4 linked regions of the Coturnix japonica genome follow. The protein of the gene in region 2 interacts with the protein of the main gene of each other region in a pairwise test. Links are inferred from orthologs where the notes say so. Each region holds a gene or a part of one and is shown on either strand. Other genes may lie near its edges.

Evidence for each region.
Region 1: the proteins of PPP1CB (region 2) and CSRNP2 interact in binary tests that used the Homo sapiens proteins (3 or more experiments, as listed by UniProt). The two-hybrid records come from large-scale screens. The link is inferred for Coturnix japonica from reciprocal best matches to the Homo sapiens genes PPP1CB and CSRNP2.
Region 3: the proteins of PPP1CB (region 2) and PPP1R3B interact in a two-hybrid assay, tested with the Homo sapiens proteins (2 studies listed by BioGRID and IntAct). The link is inferred for Coturnix japonica from reciprocal best matches to the Homo sapiens genes PPP1CB and PPP1R3B.
Region 4: the proteins of PPP1CB (region 2) and PPP1R3C interact in binary tests that used the Homo sapiens proteins (3 or more experiments, as listed by UniProt). The two-hybrid records come from large-scale screens. The link is inferred for Coturnix japonica from reciprocal best matches to the Homo sapiens genes PPP1CB and PPP1R3C.

What each region holds. Positions count from the first base shown.
Region 1 is NC_029544.1:1,405,236-1,409,453, reverse strand, and holds the start of CSRNP2 (cysteine/serine-rich nuclear protein 2), read right to left. Parts: upstream 2,839-4,218; 5' UTR 2,705-2,838; intron 659-2,704; 5' UTR 644-658; coding exon 493-643; intron 77-492; coding exon 1-76. UniProt on the Homo sapiens protein: Binds to the consensus sequence 5'-AGAGTG-3' and has transcriptional activator activity. May play a role in apoptosis.
Region 2 is NC_029518.1:24,308,999-24,312,558, reverse strand, and holds part of PPP1CB (serine/threonine-protein phosphatase PP1-beta catalytic subunit), read left to right. Parts: intron 1-13; coding exon 14-244; intron 245-592; coding exon 593-697; intron 698-3,560. UniProt on the Homo sapiens protein: Protein phosphatase that associates with over 200 regulatory proteins to form highly specific holoenzymes which dephosphorylate hundreds of biological targets.
Region 3 is NC_029519.1:44,186,767-44,191,090, forward strand, and holds the start of PPP1R3B (protein phosphatase 1 regulatory subunit 3B), read right to left. Parts: upstream 2,836-4,324; 5' UTR 2,763-2,835; coding exon 2,749-2,762; intron 1,260-2,748; coding exon 368-1,259; 3' UTR 1-367. UniProt on the Homo sapiens protein: Acts as a glycogen-targeting subunit for phosphatase PP1. Facilitates interaction of the PP1 with enzymes of the glycogen metabolism and regulates its activity.
Region 4 is NC_029521.1:17,281,238-17,285,558, forward strand, and holds the start of PPP1R3C (protein phosphatase 1 regulatory subunit 3C), read right to left. Parts: upstream 2,821-4,321; 5' UTR 2,657-2,820; coding exon 2,656-2,656; intron 2,238-2,655; coding exon 2,096-2,237; intron 2,080-2,095; exon of another isoform or gene 1,840-2,079; intron 1,219-1,839; coding exon 273-1,218; 3' UTR 1-272.

The sequences.
Region 1 (4,218 bases), on a different chromosome or scaffold from region 2:
AAGTAATACACCGTCACCTGGTCGAAGCGCACGTTCTTCCTGCGCAGCTGCTTCTGCCTCTTCAGGATGGAGGTGGCTGCGGGGAGGGAGGAGGGATGGGATCGGGAGCCCCACTGCCTCCCCTCACTGTCACCCCTTCCTGCCCTGTCCCCTCACTCTCTCACTGTCTCCATGTCCCACCCCCATCCCCTCACTTGGTCACTCTTTGCTGTCCCCATGTCCCGGCCCCTTCACTTTCACACTCTTTCCTGTCCCTAAACCCTGTCCTCCCCCCATCACCATTTGCTGTACCCACATCTTACCCCCATCCCATGTCCCCATCCTCATCCTTTTGGCTCTACCACTGTTTGCTGTCCCCATCCTCACTCCTGTCCCCTCACTGTCCCTGTGCCCACCCCCCTTCCCATCCCTCCCCCCCCCGTGTCCTCCGACCCCGTATCCTCACGTTCCCCATCTCCGTGTCCCCCCCCATCCCCATGTCCCCCCGCTCACGGATGAAGCCGCTGGAGCTGGAAGGGTTGACGCTGTCGCAGCTGTCGGCGCTGTCGCTGTTGGAGATCTCATCGTCGGAGTTGGACGCCGGGGAGCCCACGTCTGCATCCTCAAACTTCCTCTTGAGGCGGCCGCTGCCGATGGCATCCATGGGGTCAGCGGGGACCTGCAGGATGGGGATGGTGGTGGGGGGTGTCTGGGGGGTCCCCATAACTGGACCAACACCATTGGCAGAGCTGGGCCCATGGTGTAGCAATGTGCAAAGCCGCCTTCCCCACTGAGCTCTGCATCTCCTGCACCCAAACCCCCAAGTGTGGGGTGTCCTCAGCACACAGCAGAGCTCAGCCGGCAACAGGGCTGTGCCTGGGGGGGCTGGGTGGGGGGATTTGGGGACAGGGACATGGGCAGAGCTGAAGCTGCTCAGCCCCGCTCTGCTCTGCTCCATCACTGCAGCAGCGACGGTTCTCATGGCAACAGAACAAACGGCTCCGGAGGAAGCTGTCAGCATCAGCATCCGTCTGTCTGTCCATCACCCGACTCTGTACACCCCGCCATCATCCAGCTGCCATCCATTCATCCTCCTGTCCGTCCATCCCTCCACCATCCCTTCTGTCCACCCTTCTGTCCACCCATTAATCTGCCCATCAATCCATCCATCCATCCATCCCTCCATCCCTCCACCATCCCACCCATCCCTTACCCACCCCTCTATCCATCCATCCCTCCACCATCCCACCCACCCCTCATCTCCCCGAGCTCCTCCTCACGCTGCTGCTCCCATCCAGGTGTAACACAAGGCCGGGGGGGGGGGACACAACCAGCACCTCTCCCATAACGAGAGCCCTTGGTCCTGGTGGTGTCCTGGTTGACCTGGTTAACCTGGTTAACCCACAGTTGGCCACTGGTTGACCAAGAGCTGAGCAGAAGCCAGCAGGGTGTCCTGGTGGCCATGAAGGCCAATGGAAGCCAACTGGTTAACCAAGAGTTGACCAGTGGTCGGCTATGGGGTGATCACAAACCAGCACTGTGCCCTGGAGGCCTGAAGCAGCTCCCCACTCTGCTCTGCACTGGGGTGGCCCCATTGGAGCACTGGGCTCCCCAGTTTAGGGCAGACTGGATCCCTCCTTGGGATCGGGGATCTCCTCTTTGGGATCAGGGGATCCCACAGCTGAGCCCTGTGGATGTTCCAGGCTGCAGCTCACACAGCAGCAGCACTTACACAACATGCGTTGCAATGAGCAGCAGTGCAGGGCTGCTGGCAGGCGGGGGGGACAATGCAGCCCCCAAAAGCAGGGGGCAGTAAAATGTGGGGGGGGGGGGGTCCTAGAAAGCTGGGGATAAAAAACAGGGGAACACTAAAAAGCTGGAGACTAAAGGAGGGGTCCCCAAAAGGAAGGGGGTCCTAAAAGGGGAAGGGATAAGAAAGGGCAGCCCCCAAAAAGCAGGAGTGGAAAAAGGGGCAGCTCTGAAGGTGGGGGGGGGGCTCCTATTGCTTCTATCGTTCCATCTTCAGCCCACCCCAACTGTAACCCCCCCCCATCCCTTACATGCTTCTATATTTAAGGTCTCCTACGTGACCTATAAGCCTCCATACACACCCTATAGGCTCCTTATAGTCTCTACATCCTCCCTGTTCTCAAGGCTCCAACCCCTATAGGTTTCCTACAGGCCTCCACCTTCACGGCCTTCATCTCCTACATCCCTCCATCATTAGGGCCCTCACCTCTTACAGCCCCTATAAGCCCCCATTCTCCAGGCCCATCCCCCATAGGCCCCTATAGGCCTCCATCCCCACCACCCCTCCATCCTTAAGGCCCACACTCCTCATACACCCCCTATGTCCTCTATCAGCTCCCATCTTCCAGCCCCCCCAACCCCTACAGGCTCCCTACAGCCCCTATACACCCCCCCCATCCCCTATAGCCCCCATCCTTAATGTCCTCACCTCCTATAGACCTCCTATAGGCCATAGGCTCCCATATCCCACCCCTATAGGGCCGCCTACACCCGTCCATCCTCAAGGCCGTCATCCCTTATATCCTTATATCCATCTTTAAGGCCGTCACCCTATACATCTATAGGCTCCCATTTCCAGCCCCCCCCCTTTATCCCTTATGGACCCCCCTCAGCCCCAGAGCCTCCCACCTTCAGAGCCCCCATCCCCTATAGACCCCCTATAGACCTCCTATAGACCCCACACCCCCCCACTCACGTCTCCCCTCGGTCCCGGTTCGGTCCCGGTTCGGCGGGGGGCGGCCCGTGTCTCCGTTTCTCGGCCCGGTCGCGGCCGCGCGGCCCGCCCCGCCGCCGTCTGCCGACAACAATGGGGCCGCGCCTTATATACCGCTAGTCACGTGACATCAAGCTCCGCCCCCTACCCCCCACCCGCGAGGGGTGACGGGAAAGCGAGTCCGGGAGGGGCGGGAATGGAGTGCGGAAGTGGGAGACACCCCCCCCCCCCCCCCATCCCAGCCCCATTCACAGCTACAGAGTCCGTACAAAACTTTACCGGACCCGGCTCCGTTACACAGCGGGATGGGACCCGAACCCCCGGTACCGACCCCGGTACCGCCCGAACCCCCCGGTACCGACTGGAGCGGATCCACATCCTGCACAACGAGCTGCGGTACCGCTGGGCCGAACCGAACCGAGCTGAGCCCCATTGAACGCAATGAGTCCATCTGCAGAACCGAACCGGGTCCTCTCTGCAGCCGAACCGCCATTGGGCCGAGCTGGGGATCACACGGAGGCGGGGGGGGGCGGCTGCATTGGGCCGAACCGAACCTTGAATTGGGCTGAGAACAGCTCCGAGGTGAGTGGCACATTGAGACCAGTGAGCTGAGCGTCACATTGACATCAATGTCCCATTGAGATGAGATGAGCATCCCATAGAGCAACGCATCCCATAGAGCTGAGCTCAGGGTCCCACTGAGCATCCCATTGCATTGAGCTGAGTGTCCCATAGAGCTGAGCATCCCACTGAGCTCAGTGTCCCATTGAGCTGACTGTCCCATTGAATCGAGCTGAGCATCCCATTGAGTTGAGTTGAATGTCCCATTGAGGCTGAGTCCCAAACTCACCCCATTTCCCCCCATTTCCATCTGCAGAGCTGGGGCAGGACACAATTGCAGCCATGAGCTCAGTGCTCTGGTCCATCTCCAGGTTTCCAGCCCAGGAATGGGGGATTTTTCTCCCTTTCACTTGAAACCACAAAAACATGCAGCAAACTGCCCCCCCTTTGGGTGAGTCCTGTGGGGAGTTGGGCTGGGTGATCCCTGCGGGTCCCAACAGCGCTTCCATGGTGGAGGAAAGGAGAAAAAGCCCAACAGCCCAACTTCCATCACAGCCAAAGTGCTGCAGGGAATCCCTGCCAGGCCTCTCCCACCACCCCGTGTGTGTGATTGAGACCCGCTCAGCCCCACGGGGCCGGCAGCACCGGGCTGGTTTCCTTCATGTCCTCTCACCAGCCTGAACGTCACAGGAGCTGCTGGTAAAACGGAGCCAGGAAAAACCCTCGTGCAGCTTTGAGGTCCCAGAGCTGAACTCTGCCCATTGAGCCAGCAGTAGCAGCACCCATGGGTGCTTTGCAGCTGTGAGGGCGAGGAAAGGGCTGAGAAGGAGCAGCTCTGGGTTCTGAGGCCAATGGGAGCTTCTGGATCTCCGCTCTCATGTCCCGGTGCTGGAAGTGAGGGGGACTCACAGTCCATGGGAGCACCGTGGCTGTTC
Region 2 (3,560 bases):
TTTTTTTATTCAGGTGATATTCATGGTCAGTATACAGATTTGCTTCGACTATTTGAATACGGAGGATTCCCACCAGAAGCAAATTATCTTTTCCTTGGAGATTATGTAGACAGAGGCAAACAGTCTCTGGAAACCATTTGCCTACTTCTGGCATATAAAATAAAGTACCCAGAAAACTTCTTTCTCTTAAGAGGAAATCATGAGTGTGCTAGCATCAACCGGATCTATGGATTCTATGATGAATGTAAGTTAAACCTATTTCTTCTGAAAGGCTGATGTGTATTAATACTGTGTTTTGGAAGTACTTCTGGTAAATGACTCACGATTCATGTGCTATAAGAATTTCAGTGTTCTGTGAACCTGCTTTGAAACCTTCTCAAAGAGCCTATCAAAAGAAGGTTAAACTTAGAATTATTTTCTATTCTGTTGTTTCTGAAATGGTATTGTAGGAGTCTCTGAGTGTACTCAGGTTTCAGAAATAAAGCTGTGTGAAGACAGTCAGTTTACATCCCCAATCAAGTTGTAATACATGTTGTAGGTTGGCTTTAAGAAAATAGTCATCTTTTCCTAATCTCTCACACTGCTCTTGTAGGTAAGCGGAGGTTTAACATTAAGCTCTGGAAGACCTTCACAGACTGCTTTAACTGTTTGCCAATTGCAGCCATTGTGGATGAGAAGATCTTCTGCTGTCATGGAGGTAAATGGATGACTACTTTTAAAGGATGTGTCTAAGCTGTTCTTTGGATTATTGTTGTATTGAATTGCGAGGATGTGCATGTTCAGCTCACAATGTATATTGTCTGCAAAGGTTGTTGTTGTCTTGCTTTTTTCAGTACATCTGGCTGCTAAGAAATATTTTGCTTCCCAGTCATAAATGACCACTTGTGTCAGAGGGGCAAGTGCATCTAATTATTCCTGTCAATACATGAGAATTCATGCCTAATTTTTTGCTTCATGTCTTGTTGGCAAAGCTATGTACTGATGCATAGCAGATACTGGAATCTCTAGCTGTGAAATGAAAGAAAAAGCTTCACAAGTAACCCCAGCTCTGTGGTCTTGGCTTCTTTATCTGGTTTTGTAAGATGTTGGTGGAAGAGACCCCTGGCACATAGTCACAATCAAGCCTGATGCTTGAGTTGAGGCATTTGACATTGGATCAGTCATGGCTCCATCTGACTCCAAAGGATCCTGACTGTTGGAAAACATACATTCTGGGTACTGGTCCCTGTGCTGCACAATTTTTGTAGTGGAAGAAAAGGATTTGATTTGCAAGAAGGCTGTGACTTCTTCCTGTACTGGGACTTAGTCACTCTTCTTTGTCAAAAGAAACACCTCAGTGTTTTTATAGGAGGTGATACTTGGAGGATTCTGGGACCTTGTAGAGTACTATTGCAACAATTTAAACAATTGACAACGCTTTCGAATTACTTCTGTAGTAGCAAGAGCTATCCCACAGTCTTCCATCTATCTTTTTAATTAACTTCTTTACGCAGCAGCTTGATCCAGAAATGGTGTGGTAGGTATCATGTCTGCATTGCCAAGGAGGTGATTAGAAACCACTGGAATTGAGAGCTCTGCAGAAATCTACAGTTTGATTGAACAGCTCCACTAGGATTTAGATGTAACTTATACCTAAAATTCCTGTGCAGATTTCTCTGAAATGTGTACTGATGACTGCTGCCCTGTCTTTATTCAAGTATCTCTATGAGGGTTGTGCCTGTATGGAATGATCCAGCCTGCACTTGTATCGTGTATTGACAGGTTCTGCCTTCAGTGCCAGCTACTGTAAGCTTATCAGTCTTAAGCATAACATGCTTTTAGGTATTAGCTTTCCTTTGTAAATCCAAAACTAATACAGTGTTACACAGCTGAGTCTATAGCAGCTCCCAGGTGGTATTGATGTGTTAGAGAAATTACTTGTCTTCTCTGTTGAAGGATGGGGATCTTTTTTTTAAAACTGGTACCTACCTTAGGAGCTAAAGCTTGTAATTACAAGGAACAATTATGGGTTGCTCTGAAAGTAATGCCTCCTATTTATTTCTTTAATGGAGAATTCACGTCACCACTCCATGGACTGTCATTTTGACTGCTGCTGATTGTGGTGACACCACAACTTGTAATGACACGATCCAGGAAACTGTCACCTTCAGCCTATTATTTGTTCAGTATGTCCTGATTTGTTCTTCCTGTTCCTGTGAGAGCATTCATGGGAGCCACCTGGTGTGTATTTTGCAATATTCCAGTGTTTCCACTGTAGTTTCCAATGCACTGAAGCCAATATTTAGCTCTGTACATATTTTCACTGGCTGTAATACATGAATTCATGTTGATGAGTTGATCAAAGTACTCTTGATTTTTGCGGTGTGACAGCTGTGTGTGGCTGTCTGGAATGTGCCTCATCTTTCATGACACTGTTGCCACTGCTGAAACACACCACTTGTTGCCTTGCTGTGCTACCATCTGTTGTTTGGTCTCCATATGGAGGAATTCAGTGACGCACCTTTGCTTCACATGTGAAATTGACCGACTGCATCCTCAAGAAGCTTGCAGATGCCACTAAACTGAGTGGTACATTTGACGCACCAGAGGGAAGGGATGCCATCCGAAGGGACCTAGGCAGGCTTGAGAGGCGGCCAATGCCAGCTGCATGAAGTTCAACAAGGTCAAGTGCAAGGTCCTGCACCTAGGTCGAGGCAATCCCAAGCACAAGTAAAGGTTGGGTGGAGAATGGCTTGAGAACAACCCTGAGGAGAGAAAGATTTAGGAGTGTCAGTTGATGAAAGATCCAACATGAGTCAGCAACATGCGCTTGAAGCTCAGGAGACCAACTGTATTCTGGCATCAAGAGAAGTATGACCAGCAGATTGAGGGAAGTGATATTGCCCCTCTGCTCTGCTCTTGTAAGGTCCCATCTGCAGTACTGTGTTCAGTTCTGGGGACCTCAACAGATGAAGGACTGTGGGCTGTTGGAGCAGCTCCAGTGGAGGGCCACAGAGATGATCAGAGGGCTAGAGCACCTTCCCTGTGAGGGCAGGCTGAGAGTTAGTCTCAAGGAGAGAAGGCTCTGAGGGGATCTTAGAGCAGCCTCCTCCTAGTACCTGAAGTGGGCCTGTAGGAAAGCTGGTTACAGACTTCTCTAAGGGTGTGTAGTGACTGGATGAGGGGAAATGGCTTTAAACTGGAAGACTGCTTAACTGCTTTAAGCCATTGTAAGTCATAATGTTTTGGAAGGTATTTCTTTACCATCCACGTATGTTCTATTTTATTTTGGAACAGTGGAAAAACAATGGTAATAAAGTATTCAGATGTTTCAAGTAAATATTTATGCTTAAATGATAGAAAGTCCCCCAGGCTCCTGATTTTTGGCTATGAAATGAAGTGTAAAGCTCACAGAATGTGCTGTATGCTCCTAATAAATGAAGTGGACATTCAGCACTTAAGCTTTGCCCTTTTTCTGCTCTTTTCCAACCCTGTCCAAAATACGTTCCAGATTCCCTGAAGTCATGGACTGCCAGCGCCTTTTCATGGTGTTACTACTGTAGTAAACATTGAGTCAACAA
Region 3 (4,324 bases), on a different chromosome or scaffold from region 2:
AGCCACCACTACATAGCTTCAGCAGACAACCCAAGCACTGTAGTGTATCCCTGGAGACTAGCAGCTTTACAGAAGAGGAAGGAGTAGCAGCACTGAACAGACAGGCAAGCGACATCTCCTTTTCTTTTGATCATCTGGAGAGTCTGCTATCTGACTTGAGACAGGGAAGGCAGCCCTCTGCATTAGAGATGCACCCCTGATTATAAGCCAACTGCCAGCAGAGTACTGCACTTTTCTTTTTGCTGGGAGGCTTATGCAGTGCTACAGGGAGCCTCACTTCTTCCACCTTTCCACACACCTCGTGTTTAGGAAGACTCCCACGTCTGCAGGCACCACCAACAGTCAGTCAGAACATTAGGTCCTTATGTCAGTAATAGGGCCCTAGCTTTTCGTATCCTGAATAGCTTGGCCACTCGGCAAACAGACCATAGGCGCACCGAGGACTCCCAAACTGGTCAAAGGCACTGCTGAAGTCTGGGCTGCACGGGGGGCGGAGGGCTTCCTGGGCAGACTTCAGTTCTGAGCGTATGATTCTGTAATTTGTGCCCCTGTTGCTGTCCCAGTACACCTTGCCATTGCACTCAAAGGAGACGGCAAACTCAACTCTTTCATGGGATTGAATTCCATCGGGCAAGCTGATGTCGAAAGAAAAAGTGTCCCGATCTGATCCTCCGTACGTATCCTTGACATATTGGCACGGGAAATCTACAAAGTTTTTCCAGGTGTCAAATGTCATCCTGATCCTCACGGACTTTTCAAAAGCCAGATTCCTCACTTTCACTGTGCCCACAACAGAGCGCTCCTTTAACATACAGTTTTCAAGGCACACGCAGTCTGTCTGAAGACGGTTTCTGAAGTCCAGGTAGTCTGCAGAGGGCTGGACAAAGTCCAGGACAAAGCTGTCCCTCTCTACTGTTGTCAGACTCACAATGTTGTCGATCAGCTCGGTGATGTTGAAAGGAATATCTAGAGGATCATCGAACTCTGAGAACACCTTCACCATTGTCAGAGCAAAGCCTCTGCTATCCGCAAACGACACCTTCTTCTTCACCTTGTTGTGTGTGAAGGAGTTTTCTGCCTCTTCTGGTCCAGTCAGTACTGCCTTGCTGTTCAGCTGGATGCACGGCCGCAATGGCTTGTTTGGCTTTGGGGCAATTTTGCAGGCACACCTCTCTCTTCGCAAGGGTGAGGAGCACAGGTACAGCTGCATTGCTACATCCACAGCCATTGCTTGTTTGTGAGGAAAATAGTCTATTACACTGAAAGATCAAAAGAAGGAGCAGTTTATGTCAGAGAAGCATTTCAGTGACTTGTCAGATAGTTGCTACACTATTCCCCATCCATCCTAAAGAAGCTCAGTTTCCATCACCCCCAAAGTCCCTCAAGCTCTGTCAGAGGCCAGTACTTGCTTGACTTACAGATATGTTGGGAAGCGTGCTACCACAGTGCTGTGGCTCAGCCATAGCCTGTTACATCCCCTCAAGGGCAAGACAACTTCCCATTGCTTGCTACAAAGTCACCATGCTAAGGCACATGCAGTCATCACCCTTTTAGGCTTGCAATAGCAGGCTCTGGAACACCTCTGACTTAAACCAAAGATCTGTGGCTACTTGGTCCTACTGATTCTCACTTTACACTTATAGAAGAGCAACTTTCTTCCCACTTCGCACTTTAAAACAGGTATCAGGCAGCCAGAAGGTTCCTCCTCCACGCAGAATGCACACCTTAAGCCTACAAAACACTTAAAGAAACATCAGTGTAGCTAGAGCAGGCAAGCTGTGTGATGTACTCAAGGCTGACAGAGGCTTTGGAAATAAGCCCTCCCCTCAGAGGCACAGATTGCGTGTCTCTCCACCACAGCATCTCCTCCTCTAGCATCCAGCTCCCAGTGACACAGCACAGTCCCTCTGTGCACCCATATCTTGAAGGCAGGCTACTTCCTTAATTAAATTCCCTGTTTGGCTGCAGACCATGTTCCAAAGCCGGTCTCACTGCTAGAGCAGCAGCAGCTGACCGCACAAGGGCTCGTGCTGCCAAAGCCACACACAGCCAGCTATAGGACTTGATAGCTGTCCCTGTGCCAAGACAAAGCAACAGAGCTGCTCTCTCCAAGTCTGTGCTTTACTTTCCCACCCTGCAGCACCAACAGGGCAGCCCTCCATAGCATCCCTTCAGCAGCAGCACTTGCTTACGTTAAAAGGCATAGACAAAGGTTTGCTTCCTAACACCAGCTACCTCCTGCATTTCTTCTTTAAGCCTTCTTTGAAGCTCAAGGGCACCTGCACAAGGACAGACAGCGGATCCACCTGTCTGCCAGCACCAAGCCGTTCAGCTCTTCCTGGTTTCACTGGCTTTCTCACATATGTCATACAGCTCATTTCCTCCTTTCAAACAAACCAAGGACAACTTCACCTGCACCCCCTCCCAGCAGCAGCCATACACCTGATCTCCCATTCAGCGCTCAGGTACTTCTGTAAGCCTCAGTAACAACCAGCATTTAACGTTAAGAGGCCAGGAGCATCCTGCCTGCTTTGCACGACTTGAAGCACATCCAACTTGAAAACCAGAGGAAAGGGAGCGAGCAGGACCACCCCTTTCAGAAGGGGAAGGCTGCATTCCACTCACCACCCCCCCTCCAACTGAGCCCAACCCCGTATCAAGCAACTCCCACAGCACAGACCTGGTTACCCCCACGACCCCTACAGGATACCCCCCGTGACACAGCCCCGTCCCCCATACAGCCCGTACCTGACGCAGCGCATGAGCCCGCTCACACAGCCCCAACCCCGAACCACCACCTCTAACAGGGTGGCCCCACAGCGGACCCTTAAAGGCACCGCCCGCCCCTCCCTCCCTGCCGCCTGACCAATGGGTGCCGTCCTCCTCAATGGAACCCTCCTCCTCTGCGGCGATGGGGCTGGATGTGTCGTACCCAGCCGGGTGGGGGGCTGCGCTCGCTGGGGTGGGTTGGGGGGGGGGGGGGGGTGTTTGGGGCGAGCATTGGGGGTTTCTAAAAGCCAGCTGGATGCCTGGGGTCTCCTGAGGGAATTTCCTGTGCCTGAGCAGGCGTTGTGAGCCTCTCTGGTATGAAACTGGTGCAACCCCGGGGGGTTTTGCCAGCAACGAGCAGCCAAAGGTGACAGGAATGCCCCGAGGCCTTCTCAGGGGGCTGCTGTCCTCAATAAGGTGTTCGGTTTGCACTGAGGGGTGGGGTGGGGTGGGGTGAGGAACGAGGGTTACTCACACTTTCCGTCCCATAGCTGAAGCTCTGGGGCAGAAATGCCAGGAGACGTTCCCAAATCGCATTTCCTGACAAGATTTAGGGCACGGAGTGGAAAAACTGAGCTTCTCACAGACACGAGAAAGTCGTCTCTTACAATGACAGTGTTATGAACAACCACCTGCGGGAGCCAAGCGGCCGGCAGAAGCCCATCCCAAGGCAACTCAATGCTCCAGCGGCGACACCTCCTCCTCGCCTCCTGGGAGCTGGGAATGGTGACAAGGCTGGGAGTAACAGCCTCTTGTTGGCCTCCGAGCACACCAATGTGAGCAGTGCTGCTCTCCCGCCTCCCTCCCAGAGCATAAAAGCGGTATTGAAGAGTCAACATTTGTTTTTAATTAGCCGGTGGAAGCAGGCATGGCTATTGTTAAACCCAGAGACTTCCTGCTGTAAAGCTGCTGCTTAATCAACTCGCTGCTCCGCGATGCAAAGCGATGCAAAAGGGTTGTGTTGGGGGGAAAGACCATTGTTTTAGCCTCATAGGTTCCTGCTTTTAGATAAAGGCAATGATAAGGAAGCTGGGGAGAGAAATCTACTGCAGGTCCCTTGGAGATGTGGATCAGTATTTTACATGCCAGCGGCAGTGTGGAATTTCAGCAGGGCTGATTGGCGACAAGGTTTGTGCAGGGATGCGGGGTAGCAAGGATTTGCCCAAGAGCAATGGACAGAGGCCCCAAAAGGCCCTTGGGTCTGCACAGCCATCTCCAGGCAGCGCTACCGCAGCCTGGCTCAGCACGGTGGCTCAGGGTGCATTTCTGTCGCGTGATAGAAGCTCTGTTTGCCTTGTGCAGGGCGAATTGCTTCACAACTGCTGCCTACTGTTTGCCTCTGAAGCAAAGGTAGGTGGAAGCCAGGGCAGGGCATTGTGGCGGGCTGTGGACACAGGCTCTTATCTTTTGGGAGCAGAGATAATGGCTATATTTAGCTTTGCACTGAGCCCTTGCACAGTGGTCTTACTGATTTCCCCATAGCTTTCCACCCCTCCTGGCTTGTTGGGGGATGAGGAAGAGCGATCTTCCCCTTCTCTGCTTGCTGCATAGCATG
Region 4 (4,321 bases), on a different chromosome or scaffold from region 2:
CAACAGCAGAAAGCACACAGCATATACTTAAGATACAGGCATGCTATTTCTAGTAGGTGGTATACACACGGGTTTTATCTCGTTTGTCTTTCTTTCCAAGGATAAGTTTTGGCTAAGAACTTCAAGAACATAATATGGCTTAACGAGACTGCTGAGTTTGGAGTTGTAAAGGCAGCCACACCTGCCGGGTGGTTTTGTTATATAGTTCTGTGAACCAGAAAGCTAACACTGGTTTGCTGCCAAGTGGAATAATATTTCCAAGCTAGTGTCTATCACCAATATGGTGATGAATTTTCAATCCCACCTGAGCTCTGCCACTGGGGGAAGAGGCCACTGGACAGCCTTGGGCTGCCGAGCTGATCGGGCTCTCTCTCTTGCCCTTTCCTTGGAGCTGGAACATCAAAACAGTCCTTTGTGGCAGATGGTATCCGAACACCATCAGATTTCCACTCTGCATGGAGAATCTTGTAGTTCTGCCCCTCATTATTGTCCCAGAAGGTACGCTCGCCACTTTGGTAGGAAATGCAGAACTCAATTTTCTCTTGAGAAGGAATGGCAGGAGGCAAGTCAATAGTAAATGAGAAGGTATCATTTTCAGAATCACCATAAACATTGTTCATGTACACACACTCAATGTCCGTGTAAGTCTTCCACGTATCAAAGGTGATTCGAACCTGAACCTTCTTCTCAAAGCTCACATTTTTTACTTTCACAGTGCCTGACAACACCTTCTCTTGTAGGCTGCAGTTCTCCAGGCAGACCAAGTTCCTCTGCAGGCGGTTCCTGAAGTCCAGGTAGTCAGCTGAGGGACGAGGGAAATCCAGAATCAAGTTTTTCTCCTCGTGAAGCTTCAGGTTAGACGTTATGTTTTCGAGACTTATAAGATCAAACTGGAGATCCCAGCCAGGGTGCTCCTGGAACTCTGAGAAGGTGTGTATTGCCGTCAGGGAGAGCCCCTTTGAGTCTGCAAACACAACTCGCTTCTTGGCTCGGGCTGCTGAGTGGTTCCAGTCACTCTTCTGTGCTTCAGAATCACGTTTCACATGGAGACAGGGTCTGAGAGGTTTGAATTTGTTCACAAAGTTATTTCTCTGGCAGCCCTCAAGGGGGCTGAGGAAGCTCTTCAGTGGAGGTGAATGAGCTAAGCAGATTCTCATGGCCACATCCACAGGCATGATGGAATTTGGCAAGGGTCTCGGATCTAAGATCTGAATCATTCTGAAAGGAGCAGAAAGACAGCATATTATTATTTGATACATTGGGGAAAAGCTTGTTAAGAATGCATATGTGCTTCATCTGCTGTCTTAATTATTCACAACCTGGTCTTTGCACAGCTTTAAATAATGCAGCCTAAATTAATATTGACAGTTCAAGAGAGGAAAAAGAATGAACATACTGTCATTTCTTTACAATTCTGCAGTCTTTCAATACGAATGTAATTTGCTTTTTCCAAACCTCTGAAACATGGATTTTAGAAACAGCTAATAAAGCACATCCTAATGTACCAGTACAAACAGATCCACCTGCAGTGAAAGTGCTCATCCACTTCAATTTCTTTCAGTGACTGTGAGCCTAGTCTTAAAAATCTAACAGGGTGGATCAGCTGCTGCACCCGAGCAGACAGCACTAGAGTAATCAAGTTACCTGTCCCAGCTTGGCTTTGGTTAAATCAGTTTTGAGCTATTAACCCAGGTCTAGTTAAAAAAGCTGGTTTGCATTGTGAGCATTGCTGAGTAAGTGGGGGAAAGAATAAAGGAGCTGAAGGAGAATTGTCTTCATCTTGTGTTTTGAGTAACGTATTAAAAACATTCCATTCCTTATATTCCCCAAAGTCCATACCTAATGCAAGCATTTCATAAGAATGCTACAGCTTTCTTTGTTTAGATTTGTTCCTAAACCTGACTCTCAGACGATGAAAACCACGATTATTTTACAAAATGCTCTCAGAAATATGACTGGGGTTTTGGATGGTCCTACAAGGAGCCCACAGTTGGACTCTGTGGTCCTTGCAGTTCACTTCCAACTTGATGTACTCTGTAATTCTATGACTCTGAAACCACGGTCGGTTAGCAGTATTTGCAGAAGGGGCTCCTACTGCAGTGCATCTCTTCTGGTAAAGATCCAATCCTTGCTGGAAATATGGAGTTCTGTTGAGTCATGGGAAGAAAGAGCACTTGCTTTGTCACTTAAATAAATGGCATTCTTCTTCCCAGTGTTCTCACTGGTATTCCAGAGCACTGCCAAAAAAAGCAGAATCTGCACTGACCTCTTCGTTCTTCTTGCTTTTTTTCCCCCCCTTTCTTAAGCTATGGCAGCATTTACCATAATAGGTAGTGGAGTACTGGCATCAAATTTATCAAGTTTTGTTTGGCTTTTAGCAGCATCAGTATTGTATTCTCTCTAGTTTCCATGACGAGCTCCATAGGCTGCTGCTCATAACGTTATACAACATTAAAAACAAAACAAAAATAAAGGGCTACGCTGCTAGGAGAGGCAAAAATCTGCCAGCAAAAGATGATAGAGTTGAGCAGCATTCACAAGGCACTATGCAAGCGCTAAACGCTTCTACAAGCCTGATAAAAATCAAAGTAGCGCAGTGCAAAAGTACATTCCCCCAAAGGATGAAGATTTTATTCCCCCCTCCCCTTTACTTACTTCCTTCTGCGGGGCTGGAAGCGCACGCTAGAACCGAACCGACCCGAGGGAGAGCAGCCGCAGCGCGGGCAGCGGAGCCAGCAGCGCTCACCTGCGGCCGATGGCGAGCAGTGCGGGGCGGTTACTCCGCAGCCCCCTCGCTCCGCTCCCTTTATGCTCCGGGCTCGGTCCTGCCCCGGGGCGCGGCGCGGCGGGGCTGTGCGTGCCGGGGGGCCGCGTGGGGGGGGGGGAGGCCGCTGTTTCTCCACGTGGTCACGGCTGTGGGGCGGGCGGTGCCGAGTGCCGCCCCCTGGGGCTTCGGTGGTTGTTATTGTTCGGTCGGTGCGATGCTCGGCGCGTGGTGCTGCCGTGCCGTTGCTTCCTGCTGCATCCAGGGCTCTCCTCTCCCCATGCCCACCCCTCCCCCCCCCGCACATCCCGCAGAGTCGTTTCCAAAACTGCTGTGCTTTAAATAACTTGGATATTCTTGCCCCTGAGAGCCCGAGCTTTGCTGTGTTGGCTGTACGCGGTCGACAGTGCCGGCTGCTTGTCTCACAGCGGTCTTTGCAATGGGGAGCTCTCCTTTGTCCCGATCAGCCTGTCTGCACCTCTTGCATCCCTTATGGGGGTGACGTGGCCTCGGTACGGCTCGGGGGTGGCTGGAGCTTCAGATGGGGCTCAGAGGTAGTGGGCCTTTGCCAGAGCTAGAAAAGCAAATGGGTTTGCTCTACAAGACTTCCAAGAGAACACTTTAACGTGTCAATGTGGGGCTTCTTCCTGCTGCTGCTTTAGCAGGACACTACCTAACAGAACAAGAGTAACACCAGCTTGAAACTGCAGACTCAGATTTGACTAAAAAGAGCTGGATACTTGTGTTGCCAGGGCCTGAAGTCTGTCATCCTGGGCTATACTTGGCCTTGACTGAACTGACAAAACTGGAGGTTTCTTTTGCATGGTACTATTGGCTGTTCAGCTCCACACACAGCAGTGTGAGGGTACTGGAGGTCCTGCTGTACTTCCCACGTTGTAGCTGTTAGCTATTTCTAGAGCAAAGGGGCAGAAAGCAGTAGCACGCGGTCTCTGCAGTGTGACGACAGTCACACCATCACTGCCTGCCCCCACAACTGTGTGAGCCTGGTGTGGCTGCATGGTTTCACTGTCACCTTCCTGCCCACTCTCTCCCAAGTGCAGCCCTGCACTCATGATACTGAGTATGTGAGCTATTCTGAGCTTTTATCAGTAGATGAGTTCTGTGCACAATGCATGACAGGAAGCACTATGCTCTACATGGAACAAAAGGGACTTATGGTGAAGAAGAATAGAAGATAATAGGATTTCTCTGGCTCATCCAAATTGTTTTTCTTTACATGGTTTGTGAATGAAAGGCTCTATTGCTGTGCATGAGAGGTTGTTAGGAGACAGCACTTAAGCACAGGCCAAGGCATGGCAGGCGAAAAGATGCCTTCCTCTTGGATTAAGGCTGTGTAGTAGCAGAGAAACAAACAGCCCTGAAAGTGCTGGAGGGAGAAGTCTCCTCTAGTGACTGAAGTGTGGCACACAGACCCATACACTGCCTCTGTGTGTATAATGAAGGCATTCATAGGGCAGAAAGGCTTCAATTTCTTAGCAAGACTCTTGGTGACTGAAGTTCCTGCCCTTTCTGCCAGTAGGTGACATTAAACATCAC